Nothobranchius furzeri: one gene and its partners. The protein of the gene in region 2 purifies or fractionates together with the protein of the main gene of each other region. This does not show direct contact. Links are inferred from orthologs where the notes say so. Each region holds a gene or a part of one and is shown on either strand. Other genes may lie near its edges.

What was found. Proteins that work in one complex are often made in the same cells at the same time.
Region 1: the proteins of pfdn5 (region 2) and vbp1 purify together in Homo sapiens (affinity purification with mass spectrometry; 7 studies listed by BioGRID and IntAct, counting the BioPlex papers as one, with this or other methods). This does not show direct contact. The link is inferred for Nothobranchius furzeri from reciprocal best matches to the Homo sapiens genes PFDN5 and VBP1.
Region 3: the proteins of pfdn5 (region 2) and pfdn6 purify together in Homo sapiens (affinity purification with mass spectrometry; 5 studies listed by BioGRID and IntAct, with this or other methods). This does not show direct contact. The link is inferred for Nothobranchius furzeri from reciprocal best matches to the Homo sapiens genes PFDN5 and PFDN6.

The regions. Positions count from the first base shown.
Region 1 is NC_091742.1:80,080,558-80,084,847, reverse strand, and holds the start of vbp1 (prefoldin subunit 3), read left to right. Parts: upstream 1-1,490; 5' UTR 1,491-1,528; coding exon 1,529-1,645; exon of another isoform or gene 1,646-1,764; intron 1,765-3,572; coding exon 3,573-3,697; intron 3,698-3,837; coding exon 3,838-3,904; intron 3,905-4,290. UniProt on the Homo sapiens protein: Binds specifically to cytosolic chaperonin (c-CPN) and transfers target proteins to it. Binds to nascent polypeptide chain and promotes folding in an environment in which there are many competing pathways for nonnative proteins.
Region 2 is NC_091743.1:50,185,884-50,189,860, reverse strand, and holds the start of pfdn5 (prefoldin subunit 5), read left to right. Parts: upstream 1-1,177; 5' UTR 1,178-1,192; coding exon 1,193-1,366; intron 1,367-1,561; coding exon 1,562-1,664; intron 1,665-2,208; coding exon 2,209-2,240; intron 2,241-2,522; coding exon 2,523-2,597; intron 2,598-2,686; coding exon 2,687-2,792; intron 2,793-3,977. UniProt on the Homo sapiens protein: Binds specifically to cytosolic chaperonin (c-CPN) and transfers target proteins to it. Binds to nascent polypeptide chain and promotes folding in an environment in which there are many competing pathways for nonnative proteins.
Region 3 is NC_091741.1:28,885,127-28,889,178, forward strand, and holds the start of pfdn6 (prefoldin subunit 6), read right to left. Parts: upstream 2,801-4,052; 5' UTR 2,679-2,800; coding exon 2,615-2,678; intron 2,493-2,614; coding exon 2,422-2,492; intron 2,344-2,421; coding exon 2,219-2,343; intron 1-2,218. Other genes in the region: mmgt1 (ER membrane protein complex subunit 5), read left to right, coding at 3,245-3,323, 3,584-3,636, 3,714-3,817. UniProt on the Homo sapiens protein: Binds specifically to cytosolic chaperonin (c-CPN) and transfers target proteins to it. Binds to nascent polypeptide chain and promotes folding in an environment in which there are many competing pathways for nonnative proteins.

The DNA.
Region 1 (4,290 bases), on a different chromosome or scaffold from region 2:
TATATAGGAAACGTTTATCTGATTGGCTTAATGAACTGACCTGTATTGGAATGTTTACCATGTGAAGTGCCTTGAGACGACTCTTGTCGTGATTTGGCGCTATATAAATAAACTTGAAACTTGGAAAAAAAAAATCAAACTAAACTTGAGTCAAGTAGTTTACTCCTTTCCCACCTCTGCACACACGTATCAAGATATCCAGTCAACCTAAATTATTAACATTACATCTTAAAGTTTTCCATTTAATAGGTACAAAATCTTCCATGATATCTCCTTTATTTTCTTTTACCTTCATTGTTAATGTGCAGATTGTTTCTCCTATCAGACCAGATGCTCTCTTCCTCCCTACCAGTCTGGTTCTGAGCTACTTAGCCTCACACAGCAGGCCTGTGTCTGCTGCCGATCAGAGAAAATTTTTAATGATTCAAGTTTTTATTTTTGATTATGAATAAGGGTTCTTTTACATATTTTCCTTCCTGCTGTTTCCGGATGTGTGAACTACTCCTTCACTATCTGATGAATCCTGGTATTATCATTTTGGAATATGCTCGTTCCATCAGGGAAGTTCGAATAACCTGGTCATTCAGTATATTTAGGTAGTCATCTGACCTCATTCTTGGAGCACATCCTGTTGCTGAACCTAGACCTGACCAACTGCAGCAACCCCAGATCATAGCACTGCCCCCACAGGCTTGTACAGTAGGCACTAGGCATGATGGGTGCATTATTTCATCCGCCTCTCTTCTTACCCTGATGAACCCATCACTAGAACAGGGTCCATCTGGACTCATCAGACCACATGACCTTCCACTAGTCCAATCTTCATGCTCCCTAGCAAAGTAAAGCCTTTTTTACCAGTTAGCCTCACTGATTAGTGATTTTCTTATGGGTACACAGCTGTTGCAGTCCCTTGAGTTCCCTTCACGTTGTTGGTATGGGAATGCTCTTACTTTCACTGTAAACATAGCCCTGAGTTCTACTGTTGTTTTGAACCAGTTACTTGAGACCTCTACCTTTTTAGTTCAGCTCATTTACCAGCAATGCCATCAGTCCTGCAGAAGAAACACAATTAATCTGCCTATCTCTTTTATCAAGTGTGAACAAGGCACTAACTCTGGCTTTCTACTCAGTGCGTGAGGGCAACATACAGTTAATAGCCACCATCATAGTCTCTTTTTGTCTCCACTTTGTCTCCACTGGGCACACACCGGTACATTTCAGATGCGTCCCAGAAGTGTAGTGTCATGCCAAGTCTACATTTATGTACTATGCTTCCAGTATGCATCAAGATCAGTAGTTCAAACCTGGCAAGACAGGGAATCAAACACAGAGTATAGTGTGGCTAATTGTGTAAAGCATCTGGCAAATTTCAAAATAAGATCCAAGCGGATTTCCTTTTGCATAACTGTAAAAAACATAACCTCCTTGGTGGAGGTAAAAAAAAAAAGGACAGAAAATGTTGTAGTCTCAGTGGGTCCCCAGTAGAGGCAGCAGAGCTTCCCCTTTACCACTCCGACTTCTTGTACGCATGCGCGTGCGTCAGGACGAAAGAAGCCTCTCCAACATGACGGCGACCATAGACAACAGCAATGCTTCACAGGCGAACAAAAAAAAGCACCTCGGTATCCCCGAAGCAGTGTTTGTGGTGCGTATAACCAGACGCTTCTGACGGTGTTACATGTTTGTAACGGATGTAATGTATATTTGGTGTGACCGGTTTGTCAGCGGCGCAATTCTGACTCAGCTAGGAGGCTAAGTTAGCAGGTGAGCTAACAGAGTGTCCTGCTGTGTGTGCATGTTGGGCGGCTGCTCGCTTCCATCTATGGACATCACTGTCTGCCTGTAATATTCAGCTCACCTGGTGTTTCTGAGGTCCTTCAGCTGGACTTACCTGCCAGAGTCAACTGTGTCTTTAGTTAGCTAGCTAGCTAACTAGCTTGTCCATTACTCAGAACAGTACTAGCATCTTGTCTGACGTGCCCTGTCATAGAGAGCATTAACGAGCACAGCTCAGCGATTTTTTTAAATATTACATTGAAAGATTTCCACTTTAATCTGCTAATGATATTAACTTTGCTAATGTTTTGAGATGGTATTAAAAATGTGAGATTTTTGTATAATCTGGCCAATTTATCTTGATTCGATTCTCATTTAAATTAAAACAGAAAAATAAAGATAGAAAGTAGGCCTGGGACGATAACAGAATTTGTTGGACGATATATTGTCCAACAAATTATTGACGATAAATGATATTATTGTTGACATTATCAAGACCAAAATAACCACTTATGTAATGTTAATATATCATAATAATGCAAGGACACCCATTAAAATGCAACAATTAAACCTTTATTTAACATGGGAATGTCCAGACCCTGAACTTCTAAATAAATAAAACAAACAAAAAATAAATAAATATAAAAGTGCTTTCACTCTTTTAGAAAATATTGCACCAAAAACAATAACGTAGACCCCGTCTCCAAAACAACAAATACAATGGCCTATCCAGTGTCAAGAACCAAACTGCACTTCAATAATAATTGTACATTTCTTAACCTCAATATATTGAGGCTTGATTATTGAGTTCATTTTCAGCCCTAATATGAAGGGAAAATAACACGCATTGGAGTGAACAATAATGTCACAATTAGATCAAAAGTTCAGAATACCATTATGTTTAATGTGTAAATGAATGAAAAATACCAATGACAGACTAAAAGGGTTAAAAATCAAATTATAGATACTTGTAATGCTACCAGATTTGTAGGTGATGTTCTTTGGTTACGATGAGTGGATAAACGGCATCATATTAACAATTTGGGTAATTTATTAATTACTTCAGTGATTTTTCTTCATGGCAGGAGGAAGGTTTACACCTGGACACATTCTCAGATTACAGCACCTTACATGAGTATAGAAATTCTCATTTTCTTTTGTCTTTGTCTTTAACACAACAAATGCATTAATGTAATGAGATAAATAGATTTTTTCTTTTATTATCTGTGCATCAAACCATTTTATAGAATACAGTAACTTTTTTTTTTACCAGTGCCCAGGCGATTTACTTCTGATGCTGTCAAATCAAATTTAAACTGTTCAATCAAAACTTTCTGTGAAAAGTACTTAACTGTTAAATCACACATTTTTTCTCATTTTTAACAGAAAAGCTAAAAGATCATATTTATTTTAAACAAAAGATTATATTATATTTGTATTTATAAAAATGTTTGTAATTTTTTTGGTTTGTTACATTTATTTGTTTAATCTGACACTAATTTAGGGTTTTAATTCTCACTAACCTGTTTTATGGTTTCATTTATTGTGACTTTGAACTTATAGGTATAACAAACGGAAAAGTATTTTAGGAAATGGTAAGACCTTATTTGTGCTTCCATGTTAAAAACACAAAGGCCAATTCAGAAAAGTGTAATTTCATATTTTGTCCACCAGACGGCGCTGCAAACACATCTCACTGAGACTTTAGACATTTGACTTTGTGGTATTGAAAGTCTCATTTGTGGAGTAGTTATATAGGCCTTTCTGTTTTTTAATCCCTGTTTGCTGTTTTCCAGGAGGATGTCGACTCTTTTATGAAGCTGCCTGGCAACGAGACGGCAGACTCTGCTCTGAGGAAGCTGGATGAGCAGTACCAGAAATATAAGTACATGGAGCTCAACCTGTCCCAGAAGAAACTCCGGTAAAACAGAAATACAAACACTACGAGTTATTCGGGTTACATTAATACGTGCATGAATTGATATGTGTGCACCTGGTAGATCTGTAAAGTAGGAAAGCTGGATGCTTATTTATTTAACTAAAATCATTCTTATTTAATAGGTTGAAAAACCAGATTCCACAGATCACACAGACGCTAGAAATCCTACGACACATGCAGAAGAAAAAGGTGGGTGAAGTTCTGTAAACCAGCTCCATACTGGAAGTGAGTCTTCTCCAGTTCCTCTAGAATGACAACATAGGGATGGGTGAAATAAGCTACCGTAAATCCTCTAATACAGGCCCGGGTCTGTATTTGACTCAAGCTCATCAAGCTCCAGGCCTTTATTGGAAGGAGGACCAGAATTAGAGGCAGGCCTCAATTTCTATTTGAGCAAAATGAACTAATGGTTCGCTGGAGTTTTTGACAATTAGAATTGCGCCCACATTTTCAAAGTTAAACACATTTCTTTTAACAACGGTAGTTTCTGCTTCAGCCCTCTCCCCCTGCGCAGCGGTGCAAACTCACTGATGCGCCTGCAGCCTCTCGGAGTTCCTGCTGCTCTAAACATTAAA
Region 2 (3,977 bases):
GGAACTTAAAGAAACAGAATAAAACATTTTCCCATCGTAAAGAAAACTCCCTTAAAATATGGACAGTAACAAACCTGCTAAATTCCTTCCAGAATCTTTGTGTAAAAGAACAGCACCAAAAAAGATGTGTCACAGTTTCTGGATGATCCCCACAGAAAGTACAATTAGTATTTATGTCCCTTAGTTTTGAGTTTTAACCACAGTGACACAAGTGAACGTGAACTTTCTGTTGTGCAAATGTCGTCCTCCTGTGGCTGTTTGGTGGCACTACATCTGGTTAGCAATGGCTTCACAAATTTTTCCATTAGTTGCTAAAAAATGAAGAAAACGGAACATCTGTGATATGAAAGGAATCAAAATAAAAAACATGACTCAGTAAAAGTATAGATATGCAGCTCATGTTTGAAAGGTTTTGTGTTTTATGACTCAAGTTGATTAAATTTGGTTGTTTTAAAATATCACAAATCAATTTGTATATTTAAATATATACATATTAAACATAGATAAGCAGGTTTTCTTAAGGATTGAAAAAAAATTGTGTTCTAATGAAAAAGACCCAGTTCATCTACCTGGTGTGAAAATGATGACATTGACGGTGTATCTTTCTTTTTTTTAGATCACAGATGCTCGAACAAAAATTATGATTTTATTCAATTACTTCGATAGAAGGAATTTTCATTTAAATAAAATGTAGCAATTAACACATATTAATTATGACCAATAAGATGTGATATTCCATACAAATATGAAATATCAATCTGATTGATCTTTGAATGTTTAATCAGAAGATTCTAGGGTCCTTTGCTTATTCAGGGACCAAAAACACACCTCGTATAAATTCAGAGTCAGTGTATAGTTTATAAAATGAATTTTATTATTGCATTCATTATTAGGGGAATATTTCATATAAACTCCCATAAACAGAATATGTTGCCACCAAGTCAAATTACCGATTACAAATAACTGTATATTAAAAGTTTATTTAGACAAAAAAAAGTTAAAAACAACTGCATTTGTTGTTATTTTTGTGAATTTGGTTGACTTTTATTTTTATTTAATAACTTAAACATTTACTGCTACATCAAAATGCATTACTTATTTTTGAAACAAAAATGTGTATCCTTTAAAAATAAAACGTCTGTAAAAGGATGAAAGAGATGGCCATAGAGGTACATTTCTTTCCGGTTGCGTCATGGACAAATTTACATTTGTCCACATGGGGGCGGTAATGAGACCGTATTCCATCGTATTAGGCGGAAGCAGAACTGCGTCAGTGCAGGTTGGTCATCACGCTTTCAACATGGCGGTGAATCTTTCAGACCTCTCCATGCCTCAGTTAGAAGGATTAAAAACCCAACTGGATCAGGTATTATCATCAGTAACATGCTGTATTGGAAGTATTTGTATTTATGTAGCTAAATGCACGAGGTATTGTTAAATAGGAGACCGATGCGGGCTAAACACCCCCGTTAGCGTTCTGTGCCGTAGACAACCGGTGGTGTTGCTAACGGTGTTTCTGTCCCGGGTTGAATCTTTTTGTACATTTTGATGTTTCTTTCAGGAGGTTGAGTTCTTGACGTCTTCGATAAGTCAGTTGAAAGTTGTCCAGGCCAAGTATGTTGACGCGAAAGACAGCTTGAATGTACTGAACCAAAACAATAAAGGTGCGTTTTTAAATCACAATCTGACACAAACTGTTGGCTCCCGAAATGTTTATCCATACCTCTCACAAGAACTACTACTATAAAAGAATGACATTTAAAACAATCGGTACGATTATGATTTTTCATTGTGGTCTGGTGATATGTAGAGTTTAAAAAGTAATTCAATTCAGTTTAATAATACTTTATTAATCCCAGAGGGAAATTAGAGTTTCAGTACACACAATTCTGAGATCAGACATACATACATACATACATGACAAGAATTGGTCGCACAAGAGGGTTTATATGAGGAGATATGCACACAGACTTCAGACATTACACAACATAAGTGTCCACTAGGTGGGGAGGTAGGGTTGGGACTTTCCTCAGGTGCGTGCAGCCGCATGGGGGACAGAGGAGGGACATTAATGGGTTGGAGAGCACAGTGACTCCTAGAAATGGTTCCTTCACTGTGCCTTCACCTGTCAGTCCCGCCCAGGCTGGGAGAGGGAGAAAGAGTTGCCTATTTATTTGGATTGTGACCCATTTCTTTTCTCACAAACAGGAAAGGAATTGCTGGTGCCTCTTACAAGCTCTGTATCCTTTTTAAATTATCCAACATTCATTTTATTTAACCACTGGCATAAAATACATATATGAAACATCCAGGTGAAAGGAGCTGTAAGGTTTTGTCCATCGTTGTGTTATTTACTATCTTCCATCTACTTTCGGTTTCTTTTTTCTAACTTGAAACAGTTCTTCAGCAACACGTTGTTTAACATCTTTACACATTAAAATCATACATTTATTCACACAACTTAGCATCTTAGTGAAGGTGGATTCTTTTAGCATGTTTGTCCTTTACAGTTTTCTCTTCAGATGTATGTCCCTGGAACATTAAGTGATGTGGAACATGTCCTAGTTGACGTGGGGACAGGATATTATGTTGAAAAGGTAATATATATTTAGATATATATTATAAATAAATAAAACAGATTTTAATTAAGAAGAAGCTATTTAAACATGCGTGTTTGCTTCTTTAGAACGTGGAGGACTCAAAAGCTTTCTTTAAGCGCAAAATAGACTTTCTCACAAAGCAGATGGAGAAAATTCAGCCGGCTCTTCAGGAAAAGCATGCTGTGAAACAAGGTAAGGTTAATTGTGTGAATTTGACATTTAAAATCTTTTTTTTTCAGCATTTATAGATGTTCTGCAATCTGTTAGCTCTTTGATTATGTATTGGGAATTAATTGCTGTCAACTACTAACATTTTAATTGATCTCAATAGCTGTAAACCGACTGAGTTATATAGTCAGTTTTGTGTTTGCTATTGTTTATTAGCTGTGGTGTCAGTTGAATCAGAATGTTAAACAGTTTGAGACACATGTACGTTGATTATGTTTTATGAATTCTGTGAAGATCTGATTGTTTAAGAATTTGCGAACAGATGTGAAAACACATGTTTGATAAAAGATAAAAGGGTCAGTGTGTAGTTTTTAATCGTTAATCTCTGGAAATATCCTTCAAAATTAAGCTATTTATAAAACCAGATAACGTATATAATTTCAGATACAAACGTAACTTTAGGCATACATATTTTAGAACAACATTAAAGTCATTTTGTATTTCTGTTACGGGTGTAAGAGTTTGGAATAAGCTAAGTGGGGATCTAAAGCAAAGTCCCTCATTGCATACGTTTAAAGATAAGTATAAAACAATTATACTAACTAATCACATGGAGGAGGAGGAAAAGTTGTAAGGGTGCTGCATTTGATTGTAATTGTCTATGAACTGGGAGCTGTGAATATGGGGGGGGGGGGGGGGGGGAAACATAAAAAATGTAAATTTTGCTTGTGTGATTGAGGATAAAACATGTTATAAGAAAATGGCTATGACAGTGTAGGGAAGAGAATTTTTTTGTTTTTATCTTCCTTGAAATTTGATTTTGGGAGGGGGGGGGGGGGTGATTATACAAGCTACCAGAGCTTTTTTCCCTTCCTATTGAACATGTTTCTATATATATATATATATATATATATGCATATACATATGTATGGGTTCCTTTTTGAATACTTTAATTTGTCTATTGATTTACATGTTCAATAAAGAAAGAAATGAAAAAATGTTGACAATGACAAAGTAAATGATACCCAGTAGTTGATTAATATTGGTGGCTTCTCAACATATAACCATATAAATCTGGGGCCGGGCCTAAGTCTCTGGGCGACACCATATTAGATGCCATGTTTCCTTCTACGGGAGCCCTTAAGGACAAAATGCAATTACTGATTTGTAATAAACGATTACAAAATTTTCACCATTCATAAACATTGT
Region 3 (4,052 bases), on a different chromosome or scaffold from region 2:
GGTCTGAGTTACATTTCTGTAACCCTGCTGAAGGAGTCATCACCTGAAGTTTTCACCTTTCCACTTGAAAAAAATCCATATAATGTCTTCCTAATGAATTTTCACTGGCCGGGAAGCCAGTTTGCTGCTAAATAAAATAGCCAATCGTAGTTGAGTCCTTCTAGCCAATCAGAGGCGAGAAAGGCGGGATCTTTCATGGACACCCTACGGTTCCAAATGACACGCCCAGCACAGCCGAAATATCGCGTGTGCTCTTGTGAGAAAACCTGTCCTTTACAAAAAAGGGTCAGAAAAGCACTTTTTTAATTAATTTTCCAATACAAATGACTTTCATGGCCTAAATAATATAATGTGATGTAGATATCCACGGTAGTAACGGGTGATGACTCCTTTAAGGGTCATTCTAGCACATACTTACTCAAGAAAATGATTAAAAATATGAAAACTTTACATCGTATCCCTTTAAGGTACGTTTCAACATAAATGATTGTGTGTCCGAAACAGAATGCCTTGTAGGAAAATTATTTTTGTTGTTGATTCGATCCAGCCGTCACATTTTTCTGATTTTTCAAGCTCCACTCTCAAAGATGGAGGTTGAGGATTAGGAGGAGAGGAGGAATAACCAGGATAACTGAACCTGAACGGGAGGTGTTCCTGCTCCTGCTGAGCCAGTGTGAAGGCGGTGTGAGCGCCATGGCTTCTCCAAAGTTTAGCAGGTTTTTCATTTGTCTCATTGCTTTTGTATTTTTCAAATTTTTTTGTTTGTTTGTTTCCAGGTTTAAATATGCGATTGTCTCTGTGTCCAATACAATTAATCCTTCGTTCGGCTGACAGCTGGGATTAGTCAGCATATTTTAATATGTGACACATTGGGTGTCGAGTATCAAAATACATAATCCTCACAGTCAGAAATATGGAATTTGTGTTTTTTAATTTTAATTAACTCACAATCTCTGGAAATATGTAATGATGAGAATAACAAGCAAAATTAGTAAAACTATTATAATTCTGGATTCGATTGTTTTTTTTTGTATTTTCTGATTTTGTATTTGATTCATTTAATTCCAGCAGCAGGTATTTACTCAGATTTACTGAAACATTCCTCTCTGGTTCTAACTGGGAATGCCGGTTTTCCAGTCTAATTCTCCAGTAAAACAAACTGCTGGTCTTTGTGGATGAAGTTTTCCGTTCCTCTCCAACTTCATCTCTTCAGTGCTGCGTTTTGAGTGGAAAAGTGACACGCAAAAAATATGCTTCCGTCAGTGCACACTCAAGAGGTGAAACGTATCATCCTAACCACCGCCATGCTAGAACCCGGAATCGCTTAGTGAAGGATTCGGTTATGTCAAACACGCTAATTTAAGAAAGTCCCTTCATGTTCAACTAAAAATGAGACTTCCTGGTTAAATAAATGGTTTTAAAAGCGACTGTCAGCAGCTTCAACCCACAAGAAAATAAGGAACTATGGTGGATCCTGTTTAACTCACTCACTGCGCTGTTTTCTGATCAGAAATCCCCTGGCTGCCAGCGTTTTTGAGCGTTTTTACTGATTTTGAAGAGTCAGAACGTTGTGCTCTATGATCATGCAAACGCCAAAACTATCGAAAGAAAGAGTAGACTCACTTTTTACATCAGGAAGAATCACCGTGTTTCTAGCGTTAACCATTCTTTCACAATCTGTTGTCCAAGTGTGAGCTGCAGACGCTTTTCTGGTTAGCGCCTCGCTTTTTTCACAGCAGCGTCCCAAAACAATATCCCAATTCATGGATTTTCTCCTTCCTGATCAGGTGACGTGTGACACACGGACTAAGATCAGCTTTAGAGACGTCATGTTTACTCTCATGGTGCGGGGGCTCGATCCCACGCCCACCCCGTTAAAACAATGCAACTGACAGCTTTAGTTGTCAATTGCAGCGAGCCACTGGATTTAAAATGACGTCTTTAGCTGTCAATGGCAATAAATGATAAGGGCCAACTGTTTTTTTAATATTCGCATTAATTTGATGATCTCATCTCTGCGTCTGGCATTGCTCAGAATTACATTTTATGTTTGTTTCCATTAAGATTCCTGCCTGAGTCTGAGTAAAATCAGGGTTTAACCGGCTTCGTCCACCTGAAATTGTAAAAACAAGATCAAATCTAACCATCTTTCACCACTGTGACACAGACATTGGTGTGCAGGTGAGCTGTAGAACAGTAAAGCAGCAGCTTGACTTACACTTCCCCGTTGATGTACTCCAGTCTTTTAGCCACGGTGGCTTTGGCCTCATCCAGATCTTGTTTCACTAAAACAGGACCGATAAGTTTATAGATGGTGTTTGAGCTGTCGAGCAGATCCAGCTCCTGGAAACACAGGCGAGTCATGTCTGGATTATTACACACAAACCGTTGTGATATACAGCCATACAGGACTGAAGTTACCTCTTTAACAATGTTGTTCTCTGTCAGCTGCGTCTCCAGTTTCTGTCTGGCTGACATGTTCTTGCTAACATCTGAAAAAACACGCAGGTGGGTTAAAAAACTATTCTTATGGCCAAAAAGCTAACGTTACTTCATGCACACATAGCGGCTACATGCCCTCTAAAACTTGTGATAGCACATAAAGAAAACCCACCTTTCTGCATTTGTGCATACTTTTCTACTTCCGCTTTTAATTTCTTCTGAATGGCGTCTGCCATGTTTGCTTATTTTATCTTACACAACTGTAAAAGTTTAATTATTGTAACAGAGCGCTTAGCAAGGCAACATGAGAGAACAGCGCTAGCTAACAGGAAGAAGCTACGCAGAGACCGGATGTAGTGGAAGATTCAGGGCACACTCGGATATTCTGGTTTTAAATCGAGGTCAGAATAAAATTATGTGTATCTGGACTTATTTTGACGCAAACGCTCACTAAACCATGAAAAGCTCTTTCTAGTTATACATCTAATCTTCAATTTTCGATCAAATATATTGGTTGGAGATCAATGAGTTTGGTTAGAAACATGTAATTTAGGATGTGATTCGAATGCACCATTTGACGTCTGACAGCTTTCTTTGGGTATTTTCAGCTCACAAAAATCTAAATAGAGGGCAAAAACACATAAATAAAATGATTTTACAGATATCAGGCTGCGAATAATAATATTTAACGAACATAAATAATCATTTGGCAGGTAGGTTTTGGTTTTGACGCAGTGACAGTTGCGTCAGTTTACGACTGTTTTACGACGGTGCCCACAGTCCCTCTGAGCCCTGCTTCGAGATGGCTTCTTCGTTTTGGAAAGGTGTTGTCGGCATCGGACTCTTTGCCTTGGCCCACGCAGCGTTCTCGGCAGCACAGCGTGAGTTTCAGCGCCAAGATGTTAGACCGATGTTTTCCTGTGTTGGTTAGTTCTGGTTGGACTGAGTCTCCACCGAGTGAAGGACCGCGGGGCCTGTGGCCACAGCAGCTTAGCTAGCTCCGCTAGAGCCTCCAACGGAGGAAGACTTTAATCTGTACCTGCTCGCTTCTGTGTGACTGCCGTCGTTTAATGTTTGGATTAAGAGTATTCTGTGAGTTATTGTCGATATTACTCTGATTAAATCCCAACTCTCCCATCAGATCGGTCATACATGCGGCTCACAGAGAAGGAGCACGAAACGCTGCCTATCGACGTGAGTAACCCATCTCTGGTCTTCAGAGAGAGCCCTGCTTTTTATTTGTCTTCACCGTCGTCTTGCTCCCACCACAGATCGTTCTGCAGACATTATTATCGTTTGTGATGACCTGCTACGGGATCGTTCACATCGCTGGAGAGTTCAAGGACATGGACGCGTCCTCGGAGCTGAAAAACAAGTGAGTAGATTCCCTTTACAGCCTCCGGTACCGGATCTGTTTGTGACCCGGTTCGATTTCAGCTCTGTGGAACATCCCTCCACAGGGACACTCTCAACTCCCATAAGGCAGTTCGGCAGATACACTAGTTAGGGATGGACAACCACCAGAGCTCTGTTCGACGAGACTAACATCTCTCGGTTCTTTGTCTTATTTAGGTTGAAAAACACTAATTTGTTGAAACATCTCATTATTC